3 linked regions of the Schizosaccharomyces pombe genome follow. The protein of the gene in region 1 interacts with the protein of each later gene in a biochemical or structural test. Each region holds a gene or a part of one and is shown on either strand. Other genes may lie near its edges.

What was found.
Region 2: the proteins of rec15 (region 1) and rec24 form a complex in vitro, tested with the Schizosaccharomyces pombe proteins (one study listed by BioGRID).
Region 3: the proteins of rec15 (region 1) and rec10 form a complex in vitro, tested with the Schizosaccharomyces pombe proteins (one study listed by BioGRID).

What each region holds. Positions count from the first base shown.
Region 1 is NC_003423.3:2,159,102-2,163,450, reverse strand, and holds rec15 (meiotic recombination protein Rec15), read right to left. Parts: upstream 1,965-4,349; 5' UTR 1,910-1,964; coding exon 1,705-1,909; exon of another isoform or gene 1,656-1,704; coding exon 1,318-1,655; downstream 1-1,317. Other genes in the region: SPOM_SPBC1711.15C (uncharacterized protein), read left to right, coding at 1,240-1,338; histidinol dehydrogenase His2, read right to left, coding at 2,215-3,534; ppp16 (acylpeptide hydrolase), read right to left, coding at 3,775-4,349. UniProt on the Schizosaccharomyces pombe protein: Required during the early stages of meiosis for meiotic recombination.
Region 2 is NC_003424.3:4,993,546-4,999,043, reverse strand, and holds rec24 (meiotic recombination protein Rec24), read left to right. Parts: upstream 1-1,863; 5' UTR 1,864-1,872; coding exon 1,873-2,140; intron 2,141-2,280; coding exon 2,281-3,014; 3' UTR 3,015-4,252; downstream 4,253-5,498. Other genes in the region: rga9 (RhoGAP family GTPase-activator protein), read right to left, coding at 27-267, 310-1,056, 1,109-1,269, 1,325-1,427; mrpl25 (mitochondrial 54S ribosomal protein mL59), read left to right, coding at 4,600-4,998, 5,110-5,148. UniProt on the Schizosaccharomyces pombe protein: Required for correct meiotic chromosome segregation and recombination. Accessory protein required for Rec12 activity, which is involved in formation of the double-strand breaks (DSBs) that initiate meiotic recombination.
Region 3 is NC_003424.3:4,300,121-4,305,885, forward strand, and holds rec10 (meiotic recombination protein Rec10), read right to left. Parts: upstream 3,774-5,765; 5' UTR 3,658-3,773; coding exon 1,282-3,657; 3' UTR 1,247-1,281; downstream 1-1,246. Other genes in the region: DNA-binding transcription factor Zip1, read left to right, coding at 1-938; his1 (ATP phosphoribosyltransferase), read right to left, coding at 4,569-5,449, 5,609-5,660. UniProt on the Schizosaccharomyces pombe protein: Organizes linear element components on chromosomes and is thus required for meiotic DNA recombination.

The DNA.
Region 1 (4,349 bases):
TTTGAGAAATCTAATAGCATCGGTCACTAAATTTTTTAGTCTTTCTAATATTTGTATTTGTTCTCACTGGTGTCTAAGTAAAATTAATGGATCTTAAAATTTGTTTCCAACATATAAAATCAGTCGCACGCAACACAGTGTAAACACTTCTAACAGTACGTTGCATAAGAATACTAAGTTGAGTGAATTAAAAGGGCGGTAACAATATGAGTGTCAGAAGCATCACATTAAGATGGAGTTTGGAATTTTTGGTTTTTACTTAACTTTTAAATGATTTCAAGATTGAATAAACACAAAACAATACTTTGAATTTTATTAATTAATTTTATTGAATTTTTATATGGAGAAAAATTGCAATACTAGCTTCGTTAGAAAGTTTGTACGATAAATGCTACGGACGTATATTTGTGTATTGCCTGCTGTTTTCGTTTAATGTTGCAAAGAACACAAGTCAACTAATTTGCCGCAGCTCTAACTGCTGTAATCTATAAAGTTCGCTATACAACAAACGAACACAAGGAAACAAATAGTCACCTATAATTTTCTCTTCTTAAATTAGTCTTAATTTTTGGACTGAAACTTAAACAGTAAAACGAATAGCTTATAATATGAAAAGTTGTTTTAGAAGGGCAAAATGTTAGAAAAAGTTATCGATTACACAACAATAGGAAACTACCCTTTTACTATGATTTTGAGCAAAACCAGTAAACCAATCCATAAATCACAATATGTAGCTTTATTCATGCTTTTATCTTTTTTTTTTAACGAAAGCTTATGTTTAATAAGCTCGACTCTCGTATAGTTGATAAAAGCCGTCACGTTGTTTCGAAGCTATAAATTTGGCAAACCGCTAAACGTACGTAGTGCCATCAACGCTGAAAACAGCTATATTAGTGCATATAGATAATTTCGTAAAAATCTTTGAAGTTTTTTAAAAAGGACTGTCTATAAAAAATTTCAACTAGGTAGGTATTCAAAAATGAAAGAAACTGAAAATTCCTTGAATTCTATTGTGATGACAAAAGAAGAAGCTTAACATTTTATATAGGAAGTGCCGTCTGAGAGTTCTGCTCGGTGACCAAGCTAATTCATTCTGAGAAATCTTTGTAAACTCAAGGGGTTTTAGTATTCAATCATTTGGGCTTTCATAAGTCTATCAACAGTTTTTGCTCATTGCATACTAACAGCGTTTAGGCAAGTTTAATATGTGCTGAAAGTGAATATATTGCATCGCTCACTATGAAAAAACGGTTTGATTGGTGTTTAATTTTAATTGATATCATAGAAAAGCTTTTAAATGAGGCTGATCTAAGTATTTTAATAATCGTCATCTGCTAAGAAATCAATAGCCAGTACTCGCTTTTTCGTTGTTGTATTACTTCTGGGCATAGTTTGATTTTGTACTGTTCGTGTTTGTTTAGTAGTCATATAACGCTTTTTCAGCTCTGCATCTAGCTTTTTAGTGATTATAGTCATCTGGCTTGTGCAATCAGCTAGTGTTTTTGTATTACTGTTCTGTTCTTTTTGTAAAGCTTCAAATTTCAAATTCATATCTGACATGGTCTGTTCCAACTTATTGATACGACTGGCATAATCTTGAATCCCTAAGGCCACTTGCTGCATAGACATGTTTATTTGATTCAAAGATTGTAGTACTATTAAGTCAGACTTCCAACCACTTGGGAAATTCTAAATCTCACTTACCTAGTTGAGAATTTTGTTGTTGGACTTCACTAATAGATCGTCCTAGTTGACCGATCGTTTGATTAACTACCTCTTGTTTGGTATTCATTTCAGCCAAACAACTAGCAATTTGATTGCTCTGTGACTTTTGATGCTGTTGCATATCTTCGGCTTGCATTGCCAACTTGCGAGACCATAATTGAGCAGCTGAAACTGAATAACTCATTATTTAATGATCGTTTCCGTTAAAATTCCCGTAACGCTTAATTGCAGGTTTGGTTAAAGGGAATGTTCGTTTTCACTAGAAAAAAGTCGAGACACGCGACGCGACACCAACTAACTTCAGGTTGAATTAATGGATAATTACTCAGTATATTGGATGCCCATTCATACTATTAAAATTAAATTGAAAAATATAAAATAAAATAAAATAAATCATAACCTAAAAATACTTTGTCAAATTTAGTACCAAACACAAATTTTATTTTAAGCCGAATCCTTAATTAGGTATACGTAAAAAGGAAACCCCTTTCAAAGTCTAACTCCCCGAACACGAACAGCATCGGCATGCGCAGTGAGACCCTCCAACTCAGCAAGACGAATAACAGTAGGGCCCAACCGCTGGATTCCTTCTTCAGTGAGCTCTTGGGTAGTGATATATTTTAAGAAGCTATCGGTACTAACGCCAGAATAAGAAGAGGCGTACCCGTATGTAGGAAGCGTATGGTTGGTACCAGACGCATAGTCACCCATACTTACAGGTGACCAAGGACCAACGAAAACGCTACCAGCATTATCTATTTTGGGAATGTATGAAGAAGCATTTTTTAAGTGCAAGACCAAGTGCTCAGGACCATACAAATTAGACCATTCAAAAGCTTGATCAACATTGTCAACCTGTACAATAACCGACTTCTTGATAGCATGTTTGATGATATACGAACGAGAAAGTCGTAAAGCGTGATCATTAATTGCTTTTTGAATACGGTCAAACATTTCGGGAGATAGAGAGACAGTCAGCAAAATGATCTGACTGTCCAAACCATGCTCTGCTTGAGACAATAAATCCAAGGCAACACTTTCAGGATTACAGGTCTCATCTGCTATTACCAAAACTTCTGAGGGACCAGCAGGAAGATCAATAGCAACTAAAGCCCCGTAATCATTCTGAACATGCATCTTTGCAGCTGTAACAAATTGATTTCCAGGGCCAAAAATTTTGTTAACTTTAGGAACACCGGATATTCCATATGCCATGGCCGCAATTGCTTGCGCCCCGCCTGCCAAAATAATAGCCTCAGCACCAATTTTATTTGCAATATATACAATTTCAGGCGCAACCGTACCATCCTTTCGGACTGGCGTAGAAATCACTACATGAGGACAGCCAGCTACCTTCGCCGGAACTCCAAGCATCAAAGCAGTAGATGGCAACACTGCAGTTCCTCCAGGGATATAAAGACCAACTCGGTTAATAGGACGAGACATCCGTTGACAGACTACACCACGCATGGTTTGAACAGCAATTGTAGGACGCAGCTGTGATGAATGGAAAGCAAAAATATTGTTAAAAGCAATATCAATATCCTCTTTAATCATTGGGGATATTTTCATTAAGTCGTCGTCAAACGGAGCCTTTAAGACAGCCGACTTCAATTGAACCTTTTCAAATTTGGAAGCATAATCTATTAGAGAAGCTTCTCCTCTTGATTTAACATCCTCGATTATCGGTTGGACAATCGTACGAATTTTTTGAGTGTTCTGAATGGGTCTTGCAAGTAATCGTGTACGTTCTTCGGCGGTTAATGCAGCAGCTCTATAAGAAGGCACCTGAATCTCGTATTCCGGCATTATTAAGTAAATTAAAGGTAGTCAAGTCTAAATCGACTCTCTAAAAATTTAATGCAATGTTGGCTAAGGAATGGCTGGATCGGTGAATACTCGATTTCCCTTACAGCAAAGATCTAAATTTGATATGTCTTCGGATAAACCGCGGTTGCAACTTTTTATCCGCGGTAATAGAATTAACAAAGATCGAGAGAAACAAAAAAAAATTTATTAAATAATCGTAGTTGTATTATTAAAATTAATCTAAAACGTTTCATCTTCATTGGCATTACAATCTTTAGTATAGTGAAGAATCCACGAAAGCACTTCTTTATGCCAACGTAGGGAATTATCAGGTTTAATGACCCAATGGTTTTCGTCTTCAAAGACTAGTAATCTGCTAGGAATTCCCTTGTACTGCAAAACATTGAATGCGGCTATTCCTTCACTTTCGGTAAGCCTGTAATCCTTTGAGCTATGAATTACAAGTTCAGGAGTGGCCCAATAATTCACAAAATTTGAAGGATTCCAGCGCTCATAGATAACTCTGTTTTCCCAAGGAGTACCCCCAAAATCGTGAATAGAAAAATAAAGTTCTTCAGTATTGTAAAAAGTATTGAGGGTATTAAATACCCCGTCATGACATACAAGTGCACGAAATTGACGACCTAAAGGGTGTCCTTGAATCCAATTAATCATGTAACCACCATAGGAAGCACCTAAGGCAACCATTTTTTCAGAATCAGCATAGGAAAGATGATTTTTTATGTACTCAACACCAAGTTCAATATCTTTATATGGCTTACCACCCCAATCAAGAGCAATGGAATCGGTAAAAC
Region 2 (5,498 bases), on another chromosome or scaffold:
CACAAATTCAATAAATGTGGACTTACCATCTTTAGTAGATAGTTCGTTGTTAGAAACCGGAATAAAATAACCGGTATAATGTTTATTTATTTGAGTTGACATATCGCGCAAAGAATCAAGATTTTTAAACGAATTTAAGTTGTCGATAAAAATCGAATTAAGACTAGGTATAAAATTACCGGAATAGTTGGAACATTCAACCAAAACCGATTTGACAGCATTCAAACGATCAAGCTCAGCTTGTTCTAAATCTTTAAAAACCATAAACTGGAAAGGGTTAGCAAATGAAAGAAGAATAATGCTCAATACCAAATATAACTCTAATTCATGACGGCATTGCTCTAAATTGTCATAAGCAAGGTTGTACTTTTGTAAAACAGGATCATCATTAGTAGCTGTTATAGGATCATTTACTTGAAAATATGGATCGACCTCAAGAATACTCAAATGATAACTTTTCAATAGTTGCTGTGATTTTGTAGTAAATTGAGCATCTATCTCCGGATCATTTTCAAAAACTCGACGAATGCCAAGTAACCTTATTAAGCCATGTTGTATCAGCTGGTTTCCAGCTTTAACGACATAAGAATCTTTTTCCAAACCAAATGTTGTCTTGATGGCTTCAAATAGAAGAGAGCAGTTTGTAACAAGTTCGTAGTCACCGAGATGAGAATAAGATTTTCTTTTAACAGTAGACGCCTTCATAAGCTTTAATAATACATTGGCAAATTCCTCAGCGGTATATGGATGATCAACTATGTTTATCAACCCATCAAACTTATTAACGTTAGAAGGATTAATATCCAGCTGAGACAGAGCAGAAGCAAGAGAATCGGATTTATTAGATTTTCGAGAGGTAGGAATTGGCTTTCGGTCGGTCAAATTAGACTTCTTGCTGTTTACATGAGAGAAACGTGAATTGTAGTTGTTTATTTTGACAATTGCGGCTGAAACGATTTCATCTACCCTTCTAGAATATTTCTTTGACCAATTTGCAAAAGGATTTATTACCAATATATTTAATTGCTCCCCAAGCTTCTTGTGCAACGACGCTTCCTATTGTAAATATTAGCGATAATGACCATAAGAGTAACGATTGAAAGTATACCATTAAATAGCTTTCATAAAGCTGGTGTATGGCTGCATCAGAAGGAAGATCATTGCTTTCTTCATTTAAAGGATGGTGCTTATTGAATTTTGAAAACGATTTGAACAGCAAGTCAGAACAAGATGAAGCTGACTTTGCTCTAATATGTAACAACTGTAATACTAAACGTATTGTTAAATCATTAGTTATTACAAGAAGAAGAATTCATGTGCATACGCTTTTCGTTTTGTTCAACACCTTCGTTGATTAAACGTTGGGCACGATTTATTCCCGTAATATAATCCCTTGACCAGAACGAATTTGAAAAGCCGTCCCACATATCTTTTTGATAAAAATGTCTGATGTACAATACACTTAAGTATATCTATGTACTTCTGTTGAGTGCCAGCTAATTAATAGATTAAAGGTAGTTACAAAAGAGTTCTCTTTTAATCTAAAAACGTTAGTTTAAAAAATATTACAGATAAATCAGTAAATTGACATTGAGGATTAGAATTCTCCTACAACTCCAAATAATCCAAGAAGGACTGAAGGAAAAACTTCTTCAAAAAATCACTTACAAAGAAAGCGGTATTAAATATTATTCACAGTGATTAATATGTAATTTTGGTTTTGTAAAGAGTCATGTAGATGTTGGTATTTAAGTGGGTTCGTCGCGACGAGATGTAAACAAACCAAATTACATAGTGCAGTACAAAGCATCGTAAACTGTAATGAATGGCACAAATACTGAAGACAATAGTAAACAAATACTCATACAGACAATGTACACGTACGATTCGTCGGGAGAGACACTGAAAATAGCAATAGCATGGAAGATAATTTTAAAAAAACCGAAAGGAAAAAATATCAAAGACTACATAGAAGCATTGCGGAAAGGAATTGAGGATCAGGAACATTGCGAAAAATACGCGTCAACATTATTGGAACCGCGCCCAAAGACGAAAAAAGATGTTGTTTTGAAAAATAGTAATGTTACAGAGTGTGTGGCTTTAAAAGCCAAACCGTTCTCTAAAAAAATCGAGGATATGGGTAAGTACTTGCACGATGCTTATTAAATCCATCAATACTAGGCCGGTATATCTTCTTATATCTAAAGCATTAGTTATATTAAAGAAAGCCTTTTTGATCTAAAATAGTATGAATTTTCTTTCGTTAACAATCCAATCTAGATATCTTTTTGCTGACCAATGTTCACGAGAATCTTCAGGAAAAGAGGCAAACATCCGGAAGCCTTGCGCATCTGGATATTGAGTACACGTTTAATGGACTTTTTCGATTCTTAAAATGCACTGCTGACATAAAGTTGAAGCAAACAAAAGTATACGAGGGTGCGGATTTTTTGCGCATTAAAACTTTATTCGAAGAAATTTTTATGTTTCTTAAAAGAGATTGTAAGTCGCCGTTGGTTTTAACAAGACTAGTTGAATTGGGAGATTATGTACTGGATCTCATTATAATCACGCAGTCGATTATGCAAAACAATGCCAACAATGGAACTGGAGTGATTTCCAGAGCGAAATTTTTGGAATTTTACGTATTTTTGGAGCAACTGATATTTAACAAGCTCTCATTCGCTTCCGTAGAGCAATTGGAAAAATTACTAGATCAAATTGTTAAACGGATGAAAATATGCTTCACATATTGCAAAAACGATAACCCATCTATCCGGTTGTTATATAGTGAATGTTTTTTTTCGTACGCTGAGATATACTTCCCTTGTCTACACTCCTTCGATGCTCAGCTTTCATCTGCCGCAAGCAAATGTGTCCAAATCTTAAGAGACATAATCACAAATGAAGAATTACAAACTGATAAACAAGAGTTGTCTAAGAGTGCCTACTCTGCTCCATCCATCCTTTTGATTGGCCTCAAAGATATGCTATTTCCCGAAGACATTTCCTAATAGTAATATATTGAGGGCCACTATTTAACACACATTCATTTCTTGCCTTTCCAATTTGACTCCTTTTGTTATCCTAAAATATTCACAACATTTGGTGGAATTTTTCTGGAAATTCAATGTACAAAGAACGTTGTGGTGAAAGTGTTGATCATCATATCCATTCGATGAACTTTGATATTATGTTCCCTTTTAAATCTTGGGCATAAGGGAAAGGTTTTCTGCTTTTAAAAATTGATGGATAAAAGAAACAAAGGAACAAAAAAAGCGAATATATAGTGGCCAATTTGTATTATTTTCAAGTACAGAAGTGCTTTCCAAATTCGTTTACAAGAAACTTTGGAATTTCAATCAACAAGCTATGTTTCTTCTTTTCCAATAAAGCGCATTTAATACAACGCGTTGACAACAAGATTATTGATCAAGTAAAGGAAATTTATCGCACAAGCCTTCATTCATAATCCGCGATTTGATCTATACGCATTGCTATCCTATTCCTTACGAGGGATAAATCGAAGGAAGTGATAATGGATAAAACCACACAAGCTCCAGAGAATTGAAGGTTTTTCAGCTATAGACCTAACTAGAAGAACAGGGATACTTACAGGGCTTATTAATATTCAACATTAAAGAGCGTCTTATCGATTCCTTGTCAACTTGATATCACCAACAGTTCTATGCACTACTAACTTTATGTCACACTGCGTTACATGTCATTATAAATAATTCCTTTAGTATTTCTTATATTCTCCACTAATTGGAGTCATCGAGAGATGACCGGACTTTTCCTACAATAATTTTTACTTTTATTTATGTTTTAAAATACTCAAAATAAGCATGATTGAGCTTTTTTTGCTTACTCTCAACATGTGTCAGTAGGAATCCGTACATGATCTGATATGATAATTTTACTGGCATCAGAAACTCTATAACCACACACAGCTTACTTGAACGGGCCTCATTTGATGGAATCATAGAAGCAATCACAACTAAAAACGATAATGATTGAAAGCGTTTGAATGCTACGTTGGCGGAACACAATCACACATACTGTCAGCCTTCAATAATTAAATAACGCAACCCAACAAAGATGCCTAAGGTAGAGGGACTAATGCGAGAGGAAGCCATCTACGCAGTATGTAAAATATTTTAAGGAGTTTGTATAGTTGCTAATTTAACAACGATATACATAATAACGAAATATGTTAGTGATTTTTATATTTGTATAAAATAATACCCTGGATAATTTTGTATTTATTAACTATAGTACTGCTACACCGTAATATTATATTAATTAGTATATCCATTGGAACTAAATTGAGTAACTAAGAATTAGTCCGACCTAATAAACGCTAATAGTCAATAAATTGGCTTAGAATTGTCTGAGATAATAAACTCTTTTAATATTTCAAACGATGAAAAGTTTCGATTAAGAACTCAAGAATGAACAGTAATGATTGATTTAACGTAATATAGCGCAGTTAAACGTTTGCCGACATCTTAGGTCAATGTATTTTCTAATACTAATAGTGCTTGACTCACTGTCTTTTTGAGCTTCTCTATAGATTAAAGAGGTTTTAACCTTATCATGCCAGTCTTTACCAAGGAAGCTTTGGAACGGCTTCCTATCCAATTAGGAAACTTTTTTAAAAAGTTTCCGCCTGAAAATCCAAATGCATGGACGACAAATCCAAATCGTCAAAATCCGTTTCTCGCAACTCGAAATCCTCAGAATGGCCTTGTAATCAACCCTTACTATTCCAATAGAAGGCAAGCTGAAATATATAAAGAGGCCAGGCTTCAGAATCTGGATAATTTACTCCCCCAACAAATGTCATGGCAGAAAGATTCTACACGCCATATTTTGAAAGGTCTTCTGAATCCTAAAGGAAAAATTAGTGAACGAAAGAGGGATGAGATTTTGGAAAATAGGCGTTTAAAACTTTCGGAATCATTGAAGAAAACTTCTAAATTTAAAAATGAGCGCGTATGTAAACTGTTGTACTTTCATGATTTTCTTATTTCTATCTACTGATTTTGATTGTGAAAAATTTACTATTATTATTTTTTTAATTGTCTTTATTAACACTCTTTTTAGCAAAAAGCTAGCAAAATAGCGAAACCTTCTCCTTTCTAAATTCTTCTTCTGCAAAGTGGGTTTCACGTAATACTGTTAATACCTTTTGATTCCTGTTTGTTTATGACTTCCTTAAATTTTTTTAAAGATTCATTTAAATTTACTGCTATATTACCTCAATTATGTGTTTACTAAAAGTCTTTTATTGTGCAGCATGATAAAAAGACTAATATACTAGTCTATACATTTTTGTAATCTTTACTAATAATATGATTCTACTTTAATAGTTAAATTACATTTAAATATTAGGTTTTGAATCTGCAGACTTAGGATTTTAGAATGTGATTTATTCGTAACTTTTCATTATGAAGTATCTTGTTATCTTTAATTTTTAGGAAGAGCGCATTTAA
Region 3 (5,765 bases), on another chromosome or scaffold:
TTCCTGTCTCTGACGATTTTTCAAAGGATGATCTCGCAGAGCAATTAAATGTATTCACAAATCCATACTTTTTAGATTTAGAGCCTTCTAGTATGCTTTCAGAAGGCTATTATGGATTTGTTTCTCAACCTTCAGGTTCTTCCAATTCCAATAAGCAGGAAAAGAACGTGCAGCAACAGAATCCCGAAAAAATTTCGACTTTGCAGCAAGTTAAAGAGGAAGAAGTTAGCAATACCTTTTCTGCCCCTTTGAATGCAACTGGAAATTTTTCTTCTGCTAATCCTGCTTCAATTGATCTTGCTTATCTCGACTTGCAGAAACTCCTAACCCTACCTGATCATTCAAAGGAAACTCAAGAAAAAACTTCGTCTCAACGAGAGCTCTTTGAGCAAAAGTCTTCTGTTGCTTCAGCCTCCAAGGATAATGTTTCTTCTTCCTCAATTCTCCAAGGTTCAGCTTCCTCCAAGTTACTACCTGATCAATCTGCAAGACAACATCAAGTTTTGGTTGGACAGACTGCTATCCCGACTTCTGAAGCTAGCAGCTCTATTAACAATACCCCTTTACAAGCTCCCGTTTCTTCATTTGCTGATCAAAACGCATTTACCAATCCCCTTTCCACTTTTGCCAGTCCTGATTTAGCATCTGTATCTTCCCCTAGTCTTTCTTCTTATAAGGGTGCTCAGTCTCCCAATGCTAACAGTAAACGCACCAAAGCTACTTCTGCCATCCGTACTGCTGCTGAGGAAGATAAACGTCGTCGAAATACCGCTGCTAGCGCTCGTTTTCGCATCAAGAAGAAGCTTAAAGAACAACAGTTGGAACGCACTGCTAAAGAGTTGACTGAGAAAGTCGCCATTTTAGAAACTCGTGTTCGTGAACTGGAGATGGAGAATAACTGGTTGAAGGGACTTATACGTCCTACTTCTAACTTTTAAAAGTGGTTTTCTTTCCCTGTTATTTTATACCCCTGTCTTCTGCATTGATATGTTTATTTCTTCGATAATCATTTATTTAACATATAAAGGTTTTCTTTACAGGTAAACTTATGTTTTCTTTTGGAGCAAATCTTTTAATTTTCTTTTTTTCTGCGTATGCATCCAACTGCTACGTTCAAGTTCATCAGTTTTACGTTTACTAGGTAATGAATTTGATAATATACCTATTTTTCTCGTGTTTCTTGCTTTACGTAAATAAAATATAACGCTTCCAATGTGAATTGTTTTAAAGTAATATGTCAATATAAGCCAATATCAATAAATTTGATACTATAGGTTCAAGCTACTTAAACATCAAACTGTCAATTTGGCTGACCAGATTAACTTCAATTTGCGCCAATTCCTTTTCGATGATCTTATATCTAGCAGTTTGTCTTTTCGAAAATTCCTTAATCACTTTGTTACAATTTATGTGGTAAGCCTCAAGCTTTGACCTCAATTCCTTCTCGTTCTGTAAAATGCCCTCGTATATTTGATTTCCTATCATAGAAGTATAACGTTGTAAACCATCAATAGTAGCAGATTTGCTAGATGGATTGTATGCTTCGTTCTTCTCAACTGTCTTAAAAAATTTGTTGTAGGGTATTTCCTCGAGCTTGACAGTTTCCGCATTGGGATTCCTGTACTCAAGTTCCTGGCGATCTGATATCAGCGTACTGCTACTTGAGTCTGGCTCCTTGTCATTAAAACATTCATTATTAGGCGGGCTTGAGCAGGTACCATCTAGTAGACTGGTAATATTTGGAGTATTTGCTTGTTTAACAAAGGTAGAGAGATCAATTTGACGACTATTTCCAGTAAGTTGAGGCTTAGATTCCTGTTTCCAATGTTTCTCTTTAAGAAGTTCTTTCCATACGGAGCTTTTAAGACTATTATTTCCATCATGGCAAGTAGTAAAGATATCTGTAGCTGTTTCATGCTTTACACCATTATACCAATTTCCATTCGGTACAGGAACTGGAGTCTCAATATTCTCCGAAGTTAAATGGTTCATTTGTTTGTGACCTGCAATGTTTGCTATCGTAGGAGGCTTCAAGGTTTCGTCGTTAATTTTGCAAATGGGGGTTTTCGGACTGTATTGCAAATTAACATTGGATTTCGCCTTTTTATTTTTCACCGAAGATTCTTGATTTTCAGTATCAGGTTTTAAAGATTTTTGTTTTTTTCTTTTTGTCGATTTTGCAAACTTTCCATCTTTTCTTCTTTGAACCGGTGTCTTTTTGGCGGGCCCCGTTTGATTGATTACATTCTCATCAGAAAATTCAGGAACAGAATTGATTTCTTTTAGATTGGTTCCGTCTTTGCTAGCTATCTTACTCTTATTCTGGTCTTCTTCGAGATCCTCAATTTGCGTCTTGCGTTTTGTATCATAAGCATAGTCATCGGCTGATAAAGAATCTTTCACATCTGCAGGAATGTTTGAACTTGGAGTATTTTCAGTGTTAGTGCACTCATCGTCGCACACACTCTTGTCAATGACCTGATCCTCAAATCTTTGGTACGCCAGTTCATCATCTAAATGCGGTAAATTCTGGGATGCTTGCTTGGAAGTGTTAGGAAGCTTTGATTCTCCTTCTTTTATTTGAATTATTGAACGGTTCCTTAATGTCAATTTAGGAGAAACAATTATAGCTGGTAACAGTTTGTTCATGATTTCTTCAGAAGTCGAAAAAAGCTCGTCAAATTTATCGCCATCCTTACATTGGAAAACAAATTCATCTAGGGAAGATACTTCAGTAATAATTTTTAGAGATTTGACTTTTTTAATCTTATCGATAGTCGTGACAGATGTCCAAGGAATTTGTAACAGAGCAAATCCTTTTCTATAAACGATTAAATCTCGGGGCTCTAAAACCAGAGTAGCTATTGTTGAATCAATATTTGAGCCCGACGAAAATAAACCTTCATAAGCATGGACAGTATTGGCAACACAGGTGGAAAAAATGCGGTCCGCCTTCAAAATTTGCATAGTCAAACGAGTTTCAAATTTAGAAAAATCAATAAATAGTTGAAGGCGAATGCCATTTTGATGTTTACTCTCATCAGTATCTCCAGAAACAGAGAAGCGAGAAATAAATAGACCGCTTAAGAAGCGACATGCGAAATCCCTGTGAAGCAAGCGTTGACCAATTACTCGAAGATCTAAATCTTTTCTGTTATTAACAAGCCATAACTTATTTTCTTCACATTTTGCAATGAAAATTGACATCAATTGGAGAATCAATCTCTCTAAGGAAATCCCCTGAAAAATAGATTCATCGTAGGTCATGCAATTAAAACCGACTTTCGGCAGTTCAATTTCTTGCAATTCTTGTATTCCTTTAGTAAGCACAATCGATCCTATTGTTTTTTTCACCCTCATTAATTTCTCAATCTCTAGGGAAGTAAAACTTTCAATTAACAAATCGCCCAAATCAGTAGATCTAGTCTTAAAAAACAAAACAGTTAATATTTTAAACATTTCAATCAATAAATTGTCTTGAAAGCCCACTCCAGAGCCTAGCGTAGAAAACGTGTTTGATAATTTTATGTAGTTTTCTTTAGTATCAACATCTTTTGGGTTTAACGATTCAAGAATTTGATAAGTTTTATAAATACTACTTTCATTGAGAGTGCCATCTGAGCTCAAACAATTGAGAAACTCAGAAAATATGTCCATATTTTAGTTACGTTTAAGTGTTAATAGATTTTTTTTGGAATAATAAATAGGATTAAATACGTAAAACGGTTTCAGTTGATTGTGCGTGAAACTTGTATATTGGACGCGTAGCTGGTAGTTGGTACACGAAGACTACGCATACAATTTATTCAGGCCATCGATAAGTGACGGTTACTTTGATCATACTGAAAAGTAAATAAATTTTAGAATACTAAGAAATCAAGTAGTGAATTTAAAAAAAGTAATTATGGTTCATATTTTGAGAAAAGATATTCTACAGCGAACTTGGCAATAAGTCAATCCAACTCTTTTACTTTGAATAATAATTATCGACAATGGGTAATGAAAAAAAAATTGTTACGAACATTATGAATTTCAAACCTATAAACAGGAAAGATAAACGAAAATAGAATTATTTAAAGTGTTAAATTCACCTCCTTAAGAAGTTGCAACTTTACAACCAATCCTTAATCAGAACCAATTTCGTTTTCCAAATGATACATTTACAACATCTTCTTCATTTGATATATTGAAACTGAACACACCGCAGCTGACCTGCTTTAATATTTATCGTCAGTTAAAGTGTCGAACGACTGCAACGAAAACTGAATTAGTAAGGAAAAAAAGACACTTTTATATATTTAAATATAATTAAAATTAGAGGATAAACCGGTCTCTTTACATCAACGTTCGAAGATCGAATGCAAATTAAAAGGTCTATGAAAACGTTATTTACAGAAAAATAAGTAAGTATATAAGGCAAAGAAAATAAGTGATTTAGGAAGAATGTACTGTTGGACAGATAGATACGTGGTGTTATCACAAACCATATAAAAGACACGAGTGAATGCTGAGGATCAAAGCGGCTTTTTCTAATTAACATTCTAAATTGTAGGCGTGAGTAGACAAATCTAAGGACGTGAATTATCAATTGATAATACAAGGATGTCATGAGCATGGTTTTGAGAAAGCTTATCCATCACTTGGGCCACTTCCTTTTTAACTACCATGCTGCTAACGGCAACCCATCCAGGTTCATCCAAAGTAGTGATAGTTGGAGCACGCTTGCCAGGTGTAATCTTAAGAACAACAGGAAGATGTTCACGGTTAACGTTGTAGTTAACCAAAACATATTGCTGGGCGATGATATAACCACGAATACGAGTGATAATGGTTTGAAGTAAAGGCTCAAGTTCAGAAGAACAATTGCTGGACCGCACCAACACAGCACTGGTAGACATGACAGTTTCAATGGGCTTCAAGCCAGATGCACGCATTGTCTCACCAGACTCCACTAGATCGACGACAGCATCGGCAATACCTAAAGCACATGAGGCTTCGACACTACCAGAAACAAAGCTAATCTCAGTTTTTATACCAGAGTCAACTTTTCCTTCACTCTTCGCTTTCTTCTCGACCTTGTCGAAATACTCGGCAACCAAGTATTCAAAAGATGTGACAATTCGGCGTCCAACGAGTTGGTCAACGCTAGTGATATCTCCAGACTCAGGTACCTGGACTTGTAACTTGCAACCACCAAATTGAAGATCAACCAACTCTTCTATTTTAAGCTTATCGCCAATACGAAGACGTGCTTCAGCGATTTGATCTTGACCAGTGATTCCGAGGTGGACACGACCTGTACCAACAAAACGAGGGATATCGGCAGCAGGAAGGAAAACCAGAGCGATTGGCAGATTTTGTACTAAGGCAATGTCCAAACGAGGATTTCGACGAAACTTAATATCAGATCCCTTTAAGACATTCACGCAGGATTCGTACAAACGACCCTCTATGCATATGAGTCAGTATGTATAATAACTATAAGGCAAAACGCATGAAGACACATTAATCTCCCGAAATATCTAAAGTCCAATCAATTTTATAGATCCTTGATTTTGGACAGATGTAAAGGGAATCAAGACTGTGCTTCTTTAAAAGCTTCACTTACTTTTGGGAACAGCAAAAAGTAACCGATCTTCCAAGTGGTTAACCAAATCCATTCTAATTATTAGTAACGGATTACTTGTACGCTATGGCGTTACAGTCAATTCACGCACGCATCGGTATGTACCGTTTACTAACTACCACCACCAATGTCGAAAAAG